2 linked regions of the Tamandua tetradactyla genome follow. Each later gene encodes a partner of the first gene's protein in a complex. Links are inferred from orthologs where the notes say so. Each region holds a gene or a part of one and is shown on either strand. Other genes may lie near its edges.

Region 1 (8,147 bases):
GCTGTCTCCGGAAATGGCGACCTTCTCGGAAAAGCAGATCCTGGGCAGTGAGCCCAGGGTCCCAGGGCTCTGAGGGAAGAGTGAGGTTAGGGAGAAGGGTTTATCCTGGGGACTGGGATGGGGACAGAAGTGGGGCCAGGTGTCCCAGGTGACTGGAGGGATCCAGGGACCCCAGGGGAGCAGAAAGCATCAGGAGGGTGAGGGAAGGCTTCAGGGGACAGAGGGCTGGGGAGAGGAGTGACAGGTGGGGCAGCCTGGGAGCCGACCAGAGGAAGGGGAGCCTTACCAGGACTAGGAGGCAGCAAGGGGAGGGGTCCAGGGGTCTCTGGCTCCCACCACAGGCCCTTGGCTGAGGGCAGTGCCACATTCTGCAAGAAAACCACAACCACGACAACAAGCGCTCCACTTTTACATGCTCAATTCAATTCACACAATCACCCTCCAAGGGTGGTACAACTGTAATTGCCACTTTACCAAGGAGGAAACTAAGGCACAGGGAGGTTAAGTCTCTTGCTGCAGGTCACAGAGCCAATAAGGAGAGGAGCTGGCATTGGAACCCAGGCAGCCTACAGGCAGGCTGTGGTTTTTACTCCCAGCGTCGTCCCTACTACACCCCGTTTCTGTCCCTTTGCTTCAAACTCAAAGCTATCACAATTTGAAATTATTTCATTCACTGATATGTTTGCTTGTTTACTCCTGCTCGACCATGAGTTCTGTGAGGGCAGGGATTATGATCTGACTCACTGCCAGTTTTCCTAGTACCTGGTAAGATGTCAGGACACGGTCAGGACTGTTCAATATGAACAAATGAAGGACTCGGACAGGGAGGCAGGACAGAATGAACCCCAGCTCTCACCAGGTAAGCCGTCCATGGACAAGGGCTTCCCACATACCTTGACAGGGCGGGCTCTGGCTCAGCCTGTGTCTTCATGGGTTTGGGCTACCACCGCCCACCCTAGGCCCTTGCCAACTGGTGTGCTAGGAAAGGGGACTCAATTCAACGGCTCATTCTGGAGTTCTCAGGGCCCCTTCCTACCCTCCTCACCTCTGAGTTCTGGGGCTGGGACAGTGGCAGGGTCAGTGCATCTCTCCAGCTGCACATAAAAGACAGGTCGGGGACACTGCTCAGTCCAAGGGGGCCCGTTGTAAACAAGGTGGGGCGGAGGGAGCTGGGGAAGTCCATTCTGGAAAACAAGAACCAAACTTTACCCTGGCCTTCCCAAGAGACTTGAATCTGATCACGGTCTCCAGAGTTTCTAGGGAGAGTAAAAAGTGCCCGAAGAGGAATCTACTTTCCTTGGTGAAAAACATACTGAAAAAGATATGACTATATAAGTCTAATGGAAAGTAACAAAAAGTTCTATATTAAAACATAACAACCAAACAACCACAAGAAGGGGTCAGTGACTGGCCAGGGAAAGTCTTGTTGAGTACATGGCATTTGAGCAGAGATGGCATCTAATGGGGGAGAGAATAATGCAGACAACTGGGAACAGGATTCCAGACAGAATGAAGAGCTAGTACAAAAGTCCTGGGGCAGGAAAGTGCTTGCATGTTTGGGAAACAAACAGGAAGCCACAGAGTGAACACGGAGAGTGGAAGGGAAAGTCAGACAAATGGTGATGGCTCAGTTTCTATCACAGTTCTTAACACCCTGTATTATCACTCTACTTTTGTAATCTAACTCCCAAGGCTGGACTCAAGTTCCCCCAAAGCCAGGGACTGAGTTGTGCTTATCCGTCTTCCCCCTGTCAAGCACAGTGCCTCCCAGAAAATGCACTTCCCAGAAAGTGTGTGTTGAATAAAAGTTTATTTTTATTAATGTGGGGGTTTTGGGAAATACAAAGTATTCTAAAAGTACAGGCAGCCATCTCCCTTTTAAAATTAAACACAAAAATAACAGCAGCACTCACTGAGTGCCATGGGCTGCCAGACATGGTGCTACATGCTTTCCTCTTCTTCCAGATATGCCTATTCTGGAGTTGAGAAGACTGAGGCTTGGTAAATGGCAACTTGCCCAAAGTCAACAGCTTATAAGTGCCAGACCCAAGACCTCAGCCCCCACCCCCTCATCCAATTCAAAGCCCGTGTACTGGACCACAACACACCTGTGCACCCAAGACCAAACAATGAGTAGTATCATAGTCTTAGGAGGTAAAAATCTTCTCCCTTGTGATGCACTTTACCAGTTTATGCTGTAGCTCTGCACGTCCACGTGTTTTCAGCACCACCCGTTATGCTAATGGCACAATGAGGGTCGAGTGATTCAGTGAGTCTCTTGGGGCACCCATCAACCTCACTGTAATCATAGTTTTCATGTATATCCTGTCTCCTCCACCAGACTGTGAGCTCTCTGAGGGCAAAGATTGTAACTGATTCATTCTTAAGTTCCTGGGGTCTGGCTGCTACTATTAATTTCTTTTGCACAATAGAAGAGGATAGTGTCGGGGGTCCCGCTGGTGCTCAGTGAATCTTTGTGAAAAGTCACTAGCTTCCATAAGAGGCTATCACACCTGCATTTCAGGTGCACCAAGCTTCCTCCCGACAGCCGCCACCTCAATAAACCAGCAGACACAAAAACACCTGCAGCTCATCTCCCTGTTCCGTGGATCCCAATCACGCTGACCTCCTTGGGGTCCTCCTCACTATGTTTCTTCTCACCACAGGACATTTGCACACTGCCCCTCTGCTTCGGATGAGCCCGTATCCATTCCCTCCAGGAGCCTCACAATATCCTACCTGTCCTTCAGATTTTGAGTCCTTTGTGTGCTCCTCAGGGAAGCGTGCAGACAGCCGCTACCCCGTTTCACATTTGTGGAATCGTCAGCCAGAGGCTACTAATAACCCACTTTGCAGATGTTAAATAATTCGTCCCAAAGCCACACCACTTGGGGCCTGCGGACCCGCGCGGAAGTAAACCGAGCTCCCCTCTCGGACCAGGACCGCCTCGCCGCCCGGCTGGCAGCGCTCTCTCCTCCCGTTCGAGTGGCCCGCGCACTTACGTAATCCGGGCTTCCGGGGTGCTAGTCAGAGAAATGGGAGCCCGCGCGACGCTCTTCTGTCCCTCCACGCGGGAGAGAGCCCTAAAGCCGCCACACTACCTTCAGCGAACCGCCGGGGTCAACACCCACCCACGTTGCGAACGAACAGTTTTCCGGGTCTGGCCGGAAGTGCCCCATCGGCGATAGGAAGTCCCGCCTCCCAGCTCGGGCTCCCTAGCGTCCTCGCGCGCCCCCTCCCGGACAGGGGAGGGAATGTGAAAGCCAGGTGGACGTGGTTTGAATCCCCACTTTGCTTGACCAACTTCCTTCCTGCTTGTTAGGGTTGATTTGCGTTTCAATTAATTCATTCAGCAGGCATTTACTGAGCGCCACTCAGAAAATGCTCCTGGGTTAGCCAGTGGGTAGCCCACTGATTGTCCTTGAACCCTAACAAGCTGGCTCCCTGGAGTACCTGGGGATTTTCCAGGGGAAGTTATTCAGGTATAGTTGCAGGCAGTGGGTCTCTATCAGCATCACCTGGAGGGCGGTTTAAACCAGGTTCTGATTCAGCAGGGGTGGGGTGCAACCTGATAATTTGCGTTCATCACTCCTGACATGCCTGTCAGGGGACCATGCTTTAAGGAACACTGCTCAGTGATAAATTCAAACCCAGTAGCTCTCAAACTTGAGTGTCCACCAGAATCCCTTGGAGGATTTGTTAAAACAGTGCGCTGAGGCTCACCCCCCAGAATTTCTGACTGGGGAGGTCTGGAGTATGGCCCAAGACTGGGATTTTTAAGAAGTCCCTGAGGGCAGGGGATGGGGGGGTGGAGGGGGTGGGCTGCTGACGATGCTGATTCAGGGATCAACTTTGAAAACCATTGCTTTAAAAGAAACCATTTCCAAATTCTTGACTTCCATCTATATAGTTTTGTTTTGTTCTCTGGGAGGAACTTGGAGTTGGGTGGTTCTCCTTTCCTGTATGGCCTTTCATAGTTGTTCTTTTCCCACCCATGGAGCATTGCCCCAGGATGGGTGCTGAACAAGGGGATGATTCCACAAAGCAGCGCTCCTACAGGAGCCCCCAGAAGATGAAGAAAAGCTGGGTGTGAGAAATAATGATGGAAGCGTACAGCTGTGGGGATTCTGGGGACTGAAAATTCTATTTCTTCATCTAGTGACGTGGGTGTGTTCAGTGTGTGAAAATTCATCTAATGATCTGTCACTTTTTTACATGTATGCATTTTTTGCATGTATATTATACTTCAATAAAGAAAAATACTGCTGGCTGTGATATCTTATTTCATCAAGACTTCGAACATCTGATTAGGCTATGTGCTGGTTTGAAAGGATGCATGTCCCCTAGAAAAGCCATTTCATAAATGCCATCTATATCCCATTTCATAAAGGCAGAATAATCCCTATTCATACTGTATGTTTGAAACTGTAATCAGGTCTCCCTGGAGATGTGATTTAATCAAGAGTGGTTGTTAAACTGGATTAGGTGACGGCATGTCTCCACCCATTTGGGTGGGTCTTGATAAATTTCTGGAGTCCTATAAAAGAGGAAACATTTTGGAGAATGAAAGAGATTCAGAAAGAGCAGAGAATGCTGCAGCACCATGAAGCAGAGAGTCCATGAGTCAGTAACCTTTGGAGATGAAGAAGGAAAACACCTCCTGGGGAGCTCATGAAACCAGAAGCCAGGAGAGAAAGCTAACAGATGACACATGTTCACCATGTGTCCTTCCAGCTGAGAGAAAAGCCCTGACTGTGTTTGCCATGTGCCTTCTCACTTGAGAGAGAAACCCTGAACTTCACTGGCCTTCTTGAACCAAGGTATCTTTCCCTGGATGCCTTAGATTGGACATTTGTATAGACTTGTTTTAATTGGGACATCTTCTCAGCCTTAGAACTGCAAATTTGCAACTTATTAAATTCCCCTTTTTAAAAACCATTCAGTTTCTGGTAGATTGCATTCTGGCAGCTAGCAAACTAGAACAGGCTACACGCCTAGAATTCAGAAGGTTGGGAACTCTGATTCCATTCATTGACAGACCATTCACTGATGTATCCCAAACATCCAGGAAAGTTCCTGGCATAGAGTAGAGGCTCAATAAATACTGAATCAGTGAAAGAGAATGAAATGAGATGGTTTTTCTGGGAAAATATCAACACATTTATTTAAATTGAAATTAACACCAGACTTTCTGATAGGAAGTAAATCTGAATTAAATGATTGATTTGACTATGAGATTTATCTGCTTGGCTTTGCCAATTAGATCATATGGAGAGTATTTTTCATAAATTGATGAAAACATATTTAAAGGACAATGATAATATATAATAAATCAGAAATTACACCTCTGTATTTAAATTTGGGATTAAAAATTTGGCATGTATAGTTTTTCAAAATTATTTTAGGGAGTAGGTAAGCAAAATATTTGAAGGCACTTATATGAGTTTTTTCTGTTGTAGCAAATCACCACAAATTTCGTGCCTTAAATCAACACTAATATATTATCTGACAGTTTTGGAAGTTACTAGTCCAAAATGGATCTCACTGGGATAAAACCAAACTGTCAGTAGGACTGCATTAATGGTACATGATTGGTTCGGTAGTAGAATTCTTTTGCCAAGTTCAATTCCCAGCCCATGCGCCACCACCACCCAAAAGAGAAAAGAAAATAGGACTGCATTCCTACAAGAGGTTTGTTCTGGTTTGCTAGCTGCTGGGATGCAACATACCAGAAACGGAATGGCTTTTAACAAGGGGTATTTAATAAGTTGCTAGTTCACAGTTCTAAGGCTGAGAAAATGTCCCAGTTACAACAAGTTTATAAAATGTCCAATTGAAGGCATCTGGAGAGAGATACCTTGGTTCAAGAAGGCCGACAACGTTCAACGTTTCTCTCTCAGCTGGAAGGGCACGTGGCGAACATGGCAGGTTCTGCTGGCTTTCTCGTAACTCTATCAAAAGGGGCTCTCTCCAAAATGTTTCCTCTTTTAAAGGATTCCAGCAAGCAACTCCACCTTCAGTAGGTGGAGACACACCTCCATGGATATCATCTAATCAAAAGTTACCACCCACAATTGGGTGGGTCACATCTTCATGGAAACAATCAAAATGCTCCCACCCAGCAATATTGAATGAGGATCAAAGGGCATGGCTTTTCTGGGGTCCACCACTGATTCAGACCGGTACAAGGTTCCAAAGAATCCATTTTCTTGCCTTTTCCAGATTTGAAAAACCGCCCATGTTTCTTGGTTCATGGCTCCTTCAATCTTCAAAGCTATCTTTTCTTTTTGTTATTAAAATATACTTTACATGTTGTAAAGTGCACAAATTTTAAGGGTGTAGCTTTTGGATTTTTTTGGGGGGGATTTGCATTTGGATTTTCTACAAATGCATAAAGCTGTGTAGCAACCACTCAGATCAAGATAGAAAACATTTCGATCACTCCAGAAAATTTTCCTGGTGCCACTTCCCAGTCATTACCCCTTCAGGAAGTCATCACTATTATGACTTTCATCACTATAGACTAGTCTGATCTCTTCAAGAACTTCATATAAATGGAATCATGTGGAGGATACTCTTTTGTGTCTGGCTTCTTTCACTCAACATTTCTGTAAGAGTCACCCATAATGTGTATGCAGCAGGAGTTTCTTTTGTATTATCGAGCAGTATTCCATTGTAGGAAATACACCACAATTTGTGTATGCATTCTCTTGTAAATGAACTTTGGGGATGTTTCCTGGTTTGGCAATTATGAAGACTCTGTTCATGTTCCTTTGTGGATATATTCAGCAGCCATTCCATTTTTGAAACCCTGTTGTCCCGTCCATTCTCTCTATGAGGACTAATTCCACCATTTGGGTAACACAAAAAAGCAGAATTCTTCTGAAGCCAACCCTTGAAACATTTGACTAGGTTGAAACTACCTTGGCCCCCCACACCTACTCCTTCCAAGATAAATGGTCTCTGTTCCACCAGTTGCTCCTCATAACCCAAAGTAGCCACACGGCCACAATTTGGTTAGCACTGCCAGGTCCAAGGGTAACGAGTAGCAGCAGCAGCAGCAGCAGCAGCAGCAGCAACTACAAAGACCACACATCTTACAGACACTGCTAACTGAGTGGCCATGTTTTTCCACTCAGAGTTAAAATTCGTAGCCCCCTTCAAGCAAATGTATGTTGTGCCCTACCAGGTCTTACATAAATGATCTTCATCCCTTACTTCACCTTATTTTCCCCTCACCCCTACCACCTCTCTTTACAAAGCCATTCCCAGCTGTGACATTTTTGTAAGTCAACTCAAAATCCCATGTTGGAAAAAAAAAAAATCCCATGTTGGGGTTAGCAGGGGTGTGCAGGAGAGTGGGCGTGTGGGGTGGGATGGAGGGGTGAGGAGTGAGCAGAGTGCCATTTTAATTTTAACCAAATGGCTAACTTTTGGCTGGAGATTCTCGTGGTTGGCTTCTTGCAGGCCTATAATCAACACTCTTACGGCTCAGATCCTAACGATTGTGGGGACTGCTACAATCTTGACAGCTTTCTTTTATCAAACAAGGACCGCAGCTCAGCAAGGTTAAGGAGCTCGGGAGGGCTGATGGAATGGGGTAGGTTTCGGGGGATCCTAATCCCTGTGGCTCCCACAGACTCTACCAGGACCACCCAGGGGCGGAGAAAAGGCTGCTGGGAGCGCCCCGCCCCGGAAGTGGGACGTGGGACCGGAAGCCTCCTCCGTGCCCCCCCTCCCACCCAGCCTACGTCCAGCATCCGGGCCTTGGCCACAGGGCAGGCGGGCCTTCCCATTGGCCGGGCAGGTGGGGGCGGTGGCTCCGTGCGCTGCCGGCCGCGTGCTCCCCACGCTGGAGTCGGCCGCGCCCTCGCGAGAGAGGGAGAGGGCCGCGCGAGATCCGGGCCGCGCGGGGCTCCCTGGGTGCGGGGGCCCGGCCGCGCCCTTCTGTCCTTGCGTACAGCCATGGCGTCGCCCGCCAGCGCGGCCTCAAGGGCCCCGCTCGCCCCCACGGCGGGCACGGACGACGGCGGCCGCAGGAAGCCCCGTCTGGCGGCATCGTTGCAGATCAGACCCGCGCCCGGCCCTTGGCGGCCCTCGCCCAGCCTAGGCCCAAATCCTTGGGAGCCCGAGCCTGCCCCCCGCGT
Region 2 (7,872 bases), on another chromosome or scaffold:
ACATTTTGGAGAAAGGAGATCCAGAGAGAGCAGAGAACGCTGCAGTACCACGAAGCAGAGATTCCACGAGCCAGCAACCTTTGGAGATGAAGAAGGAAAACGCCTTCTGGGGTGCTTCACGAAACCGGAAGCCAGGAGAGAAAACTAGCAGATGATGCCGTGTTCACCATGTGCCCTTCCACCTGAGAGAGAAGCCATGACTGTGTTCACCATGTGTCTTCTCACTTGAGAGAGAGACCCTGAACTTCATCTTGAACCAAGGTATCTTTCCCTGGATGCCTTTGATTGGACATTTCTATAGACTTGTTTCAACTGGGACATTTTCTCGGCCTTAGAACTGTAAACTAGCAACTTATTAAATTCCCCTTTTTAAAAGCCATTCTGTTTCTGGTATATCGCATTCCGGAATCTAGCAAACTAGAACAAGGTGTTAGAAAGGAAGAAAATAAAGCACAGTAGGATGTTTGGCAGCATCTTTGTCATCCAACCACCCATGAATGCCAGTAGCACTTTCCACCTTCTTCTCCCACCATGTTGTGACAAATGAAATGTTTTCAGGCATTATGAAATGTCTCCTTGGGGGCAAAAATGCCCCTGGCTGAGAACCATGCATTAAAATGAGAAGGTATCCTGAAGAAAGCCAGTTCAAGAGGATGGAACAGAACCCAAAGTGCAAATCAATGCCTATACAAAACAGTGATATTTGCTAATGACCAAACACAAAATTAGTTACCTTTATGTCTGGATCTGACAGCTGATTCTTCAACAACTCAAAGTCAGTAGTTTCACCCTTTTACAAGAAGGGAAAAAAAAGAAGTTAAGCTTGATTTAGTTTCCTATAAAAGTTCAACAGCAGGACTTTTAATTATCCCTTAACATCTGATGAAATTACAATGGGAACACTGTAACTTTTACGAAAAGGTATATTACAAAATCGTAACTATAAAAAGTTAAAAACCCACGTTAATGGGGCCAAGGTGACTGAAAATAAAAAAATGACAACCAAAAAGCCATTCATAACTAGTTACGTATATATCTGTGTACTGACATTTGCACAAGTTGACAGTCTAATGATTTTCAAAGCATATATGAAAAAAATTCACTGTAATGATTTAAAGAGCAACTAAGATGTTACCCATTCACATACATAGCTATAAATGTACATTTTATATATATGGAAAATCATTTATATTTTCCCCCCACTTCTGAGATTTAATAGCATCATTTGTAAACTAACACTAAAGAACAATCAAAAACTCGCATCAACAGAGGTGGTTTAATGTCCTCACATATTATCCTTAGATAATTTCTGAGGAAACATAAAACGTTCTGCTGTAATGTTTTCTATTTTATCACCTGCTAAAGTTTTCGAAAGATCTGGTATAAATAAAGCATTTGAAAAGGTGAAACCTCAGCAAAGACTTATTACCCCAATTTTGAGCTGACAGCATCATGCTCTTATTGAGTATTTCAAGCCCAATATCTAAAATTCATTTTAAACCATGTCTACTGGTCTTTAGGATAGCATCTATGGTTGTATTCTGAACAATAAAAAAAACAATCATCACATGTTATTTCCTCTTTTACCTTCTTGTACTTCAGTAAGACTTCTGTTACAGTTCCACCAAAACGAACAGCTTTTCTTGGGGGAGAATTGAAGAAATCATTCTCTAGTACAAGCATATCTGAAATTCTGTAGAACCAAGATTATCAAGCTAGTAAGTGCATGACAGAGAATATATCTACTGAACCAAACAATCAACATCATTCAATGGGATGACTGCAAAAGCTTCCTAACTGGCTTCCATTCTTGTCCTCCAATAATTCATTCTTCCCTCAGCCAAATAATGTTTTAAAAGATCATTTTAGAAGACCTTTTAAAAGATCATTGCCTTAAAATTGTCTTCAAGGTCCTGCATTGCTCTGACCCCTGCCAACCCTCTGATCTCATCTCCAACCACTTGTGCTAATGTAGACATAGTGTCCCTGCTGTTATTCAAACCTGTCAAGCTGTTCCTCATTTCACTTGCCATTCCCTCTATCAGAAGCACACTTTTCTCTGGTCTTGACATGGCTGGAATCTTATCTTCATTCAAGTCACAGCTCAAATGTCAATTCAGAAGCCTTCCTCACCTGACCACCTTCTCTGTTCCCCCTTTGCAATACTTACCACTATTTGAAATCATCCTGTTTATTGATTTATTGGCCTATTTACTATACTTCTCCCCTAGACTGTAAGCTCCTTGAGCACAGGGACAGACCTTGCTTTTTGTGAGAGACTCCTGTCTTACCGTTTAACACAATAAGAAAAGACAGTACGTAGGCAGTCAATAAATATAGTGAATGGTGTTATGCTAAGTAAGGTTTGCCTCACTTAAACAAAGTAGCTTAGTGGAAAATCATAGCATCCTACTAATGACTTGTTAAAATGTTTTAAGGGGGGAAAAGAGTCTTAAAAGTTAAGCGCAAGGAAAAAAATTATTAAAATGTTAGGTCAAATTCCAAACAAACAAGAATTTCAGATTCAATCTGCCATCAGTGACAGCATTTGGCTGATAGAACAAACAGCCCAGGGAATTCCTTTCAAATCTAGACGAGAAACCGGGAGGAAAGAGTAAAAGGAATGAACGTCATTATCTAGGCCCGAAACGCTATGAAGGAGCCCAGCGGGAGCATAAGGGGGTCTCTGATACAGAAAATGAGCTCGTTTTCCAGTGCCCCTCTCAACTCCATTAAAAATGAGAAGAGGCTCATTTTTAAGAACGCGGGACAACTCTACCCTTACTTCCATTCCTCTTCATCATTGTCCCAGACCTTTTTCAGATCCGCTGTTCCAACCCTGGGTTTTGATCCCAGATGCGTAACATAAAAAGGCCCAGACTCTTTCTTACCCAGTCTTGGACGACCCCAGTGCCTTGACAGAAGAGGCCGAACCGGCCGAATCCCCTGGAAACCGCGTGTGAAGCAGCGGGGCCGCCATTGGGCCAGACTAGCGCGACTGCTGCGCCTCGCGCCGGAAATCGTCCTCCCTGCAGCCACCGTCTCTGGCCCGGAAGTCGGGCGGGCAAGTGGCGGCCTTTCTTTCTCAGCCCAACAGAGAACCCACTTGGAGAGAGCGTAGAGCGTTCAGCGGGCTAGAGTGCCGCCAAAGCTTTCTCCTCTCGCCCCCACCAGGCCCCTCCTACCACTCGGAGGACTTTCACCGCCCGGGTTGGCAGAGCGTGCAAAGTGCGGCCTCCTACCACCGGGAGAAGGGAGGTATGAAAAGCTGCATTCCGTCCAGTCTTGAAGATCCCACGACAGGGTTCAGCAGCTGCTGGGTTCCTCTGAGTGTTAACTTTTGGAGTCAGAGTATTCCTCAGGGCTTTTTACCACTATTATAATTGAAGAGAAATGAGGAAACTGAGTTTAGCCGATGATTAACGCATAGAAAAGGGGCGGGCTGGGGATTCGAACGAAGTTGCCTGACCCCAGGAGCATGGGCTCTATACTCACTATCGTCACAGACACCCAAGATAATCTTATCCTCAAGGAAAATAGAACTTGACGAAGTGACTTCCGTAAAAGTTTCAGAGCTGTAAGTGTGGATGTTGAAGTGAGAAATCAGAGGAGAGAGGGGACAGTTTCCTAGGGGCGTTAACTTTTGAACCGGAGGGCTGGGAGTCAGCCACACCAAGGATGCAGTAAAGCGTCTTCCAGTCACTGGGAACCGTAGGTGCCAAGCCATGGGGAGAGGGGCGGGGCAGAATAGACCTCTCCTCCCCGCAGTTTCTAAGAGGGGAAAAATGTTACACTTAGAAACTATACACAACTATCAAGAGTACATAAAACCAGCTACAGCGTACATTTTAAATTTAAAGCACAGTTCTGTTTTACAACAGTGTTAAATAGTAACTCTGTTGTCCTCATTCGGTCCCACCACCATATATTCCCTCACTGCTTTAGCGTTCATGGGGAATGTTGGGCAGAAATCATCAACGTCCCTAGAGCAGAGGAAATAATTCCGCTTTATCTTCAAGACAGCTGTTTAAATGGGAATATCTTTCCCTCTCCCCCAAGCAAAAACAAAATTTTAAAAAATCACAATTCGTTAGGGCTCTCATACACAGTCAATAGACCTGCAACTTGTGGACTGTCAAGCAATTTGGTAATTACTGTATTCTTTCATTTAAAAACTTGGTATGTACAAAATAGTATATGATAACGTTCTAATGTATATAAAACATAATCACACCTTCTCCCTGATTTCCTCTCAAAGGTTTCACTATCCTGATACATTTTTTAAATTTTTATTGTAAGATTTATAACAAAACTTCTTATATTAACTACTTTCACGTGTACCATACAGTGATTCTCTGTTACCATCAGCACCAAGCATTACCGGAACTTTTTCAGCACACCAAACAGAACCTGAACCCATTAAGCTGTAATTTCTCTCCCTCCTCTCCACAGCCCCTGATAACCTGTAATATACTTTATCTTTATGAATTTGCTTATTCTAGGTGTTTCATATAAGTGTCTAGCTTATTTCACTTAGCATAATGTTTCAAGGTGCTTCCATGTTATAGTGTATCTGAATTACATTACTTTTTACTGCTGGAAAATATTCCTTTGTGTGTCTGTATATATTTATACACACACAGCACATATTATCCATTCATCTGTGGGATGCTTGGGTCATTTCCACCTTTTGGCTATTGTGAATAACACTGCTGTGAACACTGGTGCATAAATATCTATTCAAGTCCCTGTTTTTAATTCTTGGAGGTAATAAACCTAGAAGTAGGATTATTCAGTCATATGGCAATTCTATTTTTAATTTTTTTGAGGAACCACCAAACTGTTTTCCACTGTGACTGTGCCATTTTACATTTCCACCAACAGTGCAAAAGTGTTCCTATTTCTGAGCATCCTCACAAATACTTGTTATTTTTGTTTGTTTTTTATAATAGTCACCCTAATGGGTATGAAGTGGTATCTCACTGTGGTTTTGATTTTCATTTCCCTAATGGCTAATGATGTTGAGCATCTTTTCATGTGCTTATTTGGCATTTATGTTCTTTAATGAAATGTCTATTTAAATCTTTTGCCCATTTTTCCATTGAATTTTTGGTGTGTTTTACTGGTGTTTTGTAGAAGTTCTTAAAAATATATTCTGCATACTGTCCTGATTTTCAAAAATGTTCTAACTTTTCTTTATGTAATTACCATATTTAATTTCTCTCTAAGCAGATACTGTTTACTTTTGCTTTTCTTTGAATTTTATAAAAGCTGCTTTCTTTTTCATTCATTATCCCTCTGAAATCCATCTCTCTTGTATGTAGTTGTGATTTATTTGTTTTCTCTGATATAATTCCATCACAGGAATAAAGTAGGATTTATTTATCCATTCTAGACATTTACATTGTTTCCATTCTTTTTTATTTGCATCATTATTTCATTGCTGCTATGAATATTCTTGTGTAGTCTACTGATGCCATATGCACATTTTTCTAGGGTAAAATTGTTGCCTTGATAGCTATACAACAGATGGTTAAAGAGCTTTCTGAAGTGATTGTACCAATATACCCTCTCAGCAATATACTCACCTTAAGCTTGAGCACAGGTCCTTCCTTATTTCCATAGCACACCTAAAACCAAGCTACCATGATTTTAAACAATTGAAATGGAAGCCTAAGAATAATACAAGAGAAAACTTAAAATCAAATAGCATAATTCACTACTTGAGTTATTTTCTCATGCCCTTTCATTGGAGATCCTCTAGTTCATCCTGTTACATGGGCCCACTTGTGTTTCTGAGTTAAAAGCCCCCTTCATCTAGTCTTGCCTTCCCCAGAGCCCCAACTTCAAGTATTTCCAGCTCTAATCCAAGAAAATAAAGCATCCATCTCCAAAGAAGGTGTTAATATACTACCTTGAAAAGATGCAGCCTCACCCATGGTGAAGTCATCCTTTTACAACACTATCCTTTATAGTTATTTCTAATTGTTCTAAACTTCTTCATTCCAAAATGAATTTTTCCTTTACTTTCATATACCCAGATGGCCCATTAAACTTTTCTTTCAAAAGAGCAGTCTTTCCTTAGAGATGAATTTTTCTATCATCCCTAGAACAATAGGAGGTAGTTCAATTGCTTAAAGCCTTTTGGCTTGCAAGTAATAGAAACTAACTTGACCTAGCTTACACAGAAAGGGAATTTTTTTCCTAAGTATACAAGGATATCTTAATGCACCAGAAAATAACTTTTCATTGGACAAGCTTGTATCAATACTGGCTAGAGTGGGGAGGTGATGTTGTACCAAATGACTTCCAATGAACCTTTGCTATGGATGAGATGGCTACTATAAATACTCGACAAATGTTTTTCAAATGGCAGAGCGGTAGGGAGGATCCACATGGACAATTCTGAATAGGAAACCCAATAGTGTATATCTTATTTGTTCCTTTTCCCTTTCCAAAAAGAGTCAACAGTTACTTTGAGTCAATTATTATTTTTTAAAAAATTTATTTATTAATTAAAAAATTAACAAATGAAATAAAAATTAACATAGATAATCAGTACTTCACAATATCATCACTTAGCGAGTCAATTACTTTTATGAGAACTCCATTTGTTAATAAAAATGCACGTTCCCAATTGTAAATCTTTAGTCAGATAAATTGATTGATAGATGTGTGTGCATTTATGCCATTTCTTATTTATCAGTATTATAGAGAAGTAAGCATAAAGCTCAGTGTATCAACCTCAGCACTACTAATATTTTGGGCCTGATAATTATCTGTTGAGAGTAGGGTAGGGGAATAATAGGATATTTAGCAGCAACCATGACCTCCACAGTAGCATTTCCTATCCCACCCCACCATAGTAGCAGCAAAAATAAATCTGGACATTGCCAAATGTCCCCTGGTACTAAAATTTTAGTCCAGTTGAAGATACAAGACACATTTGAAACACTAAAAGGAAAAAAAGTAAAGCATAATATACCAAACATGTATTGTATATACTTAAAAAATTTCCATTTCTGCCTCTAATATTCTTGGTGGAACATTGGTAAATAAATGATTTCCCATCTTATTCTTCTGGAACACAATGGCAGTGATACATGAGTTTCTTATGCTATATAATTCCTATTTGGAACATGATTTTCATATTTTTACCAGAAGAATGCCACAGAGAGAAGTACCTTAATTTCCCCCAAATTCCTCAGCAGGCAAATGTATCTGACTGAAACTGTGAATCAATAAAGTATGTTCTATTGTTTTATTGGCATGTGTGCTGGTTTGAAACTGTTATGTACCCTAGAAAAGCCATGTTCTTCTAATCCATTCTTGTTGATGCAGACCTATTGTGGGTGGGACCTTTTAATTAGGTTGTTTCCATGGAGATGTGACCTACCCAATTAAATGGGTTCTTAATCCTCTTTACTGGAGTATTTTGTAAAAGGATGAAAAGACATAAAAGCTGAGAGAGCCCAGAGACGTTTAAAGAGAGATAAATGCCATGAGAGAAACAAGCAAGGACCCACAGAAGCCCAGAGACATTTTGGAGAGGAACAGCAAATGTCGCCCTGGGCCTTCACATGTGACAGAGGAACCCCAGAGGCCAGCAGCCTTTCCTTAGAAAAGGTATCTTCCTCTCAGTGCCTTAATCTGGACATTTTCATGCCCTAGAACTGTACATTTGTAACCTAATAAGTACCCTTTGAAAAAGCCAGCCCATCTCTGATATATTGCATTCTTGCAGCTTTAGCAAATCAAAACAGCATGATACTAGAAATTAGCTTTATCTGTGTTTCTAATCTGTCTTTGGTTGGTAGGGACTACCTAACCTTAGTTTTATCTTTGCCTATAGCCTTTCATTCGAAGAGTAGC

Evidence for each region.
Region 2: TAF1C (region 1) and RRN3 share a complex: the UniProt entries of both Homo sapiens proteins name them as parts of the pol I pre-initiation complex. The link is inferred for Tamandua tetradactyla from reciprocal best matches to the Homo sapiens genes TAF1C and RRN3.

What each region holds. Positions count from the first base shown.
Region 1 is NC_135342.1:78,858,622-78,866,768, forward strand, and holds the start of TAF1C (TATA box-binding protein-associated factor RNA polymerase I subunit C), read right to left. Parts: upstream 3,158-8,147; 5' UTR 3,003-3,157; intron 2,997-3,002; exon of another isoform or gene 2,740-2,996; intron 1,185-2,739; 5' UTR 1,184-1,184; coding exon 1,046-1,183; intron 369-1,045; coding exon 287-368; intron 70-286; coding exon 1-69. Other genes in the region: ADAD2 (adenosine deaminase domain-containing protein 2), read left to right, coding at 7,966-8,147. UniProt on the Homo sapiens protein: Component of the transcription factor SL1/TIF-IB complex, which is involved in the assembly of the PIC (pre-initiation complex) during RNA polymerase I-dependent transcription.
Region 2 is NC_135349.1:37,315,117-37,322,988, reverse strand, and holds the start of RRN3 (RNA polymerase I-specific transcription initiation factor RRN3), read right to left. Parts: upstream 3,145-7,872; 5' UTR 2,981-3,144; coding exon 2,892-2,980; intron 1,694-2,891; coding exon 1,588-1,693; intron 791-1,587; coding exon 734-790; intron 1-733. UniProt on the Homo sapiens protein: Required for efficient transcription initiation by RNA polymerase I (Pol I). Required for the formation of the competent pre-initiation complex (PIC).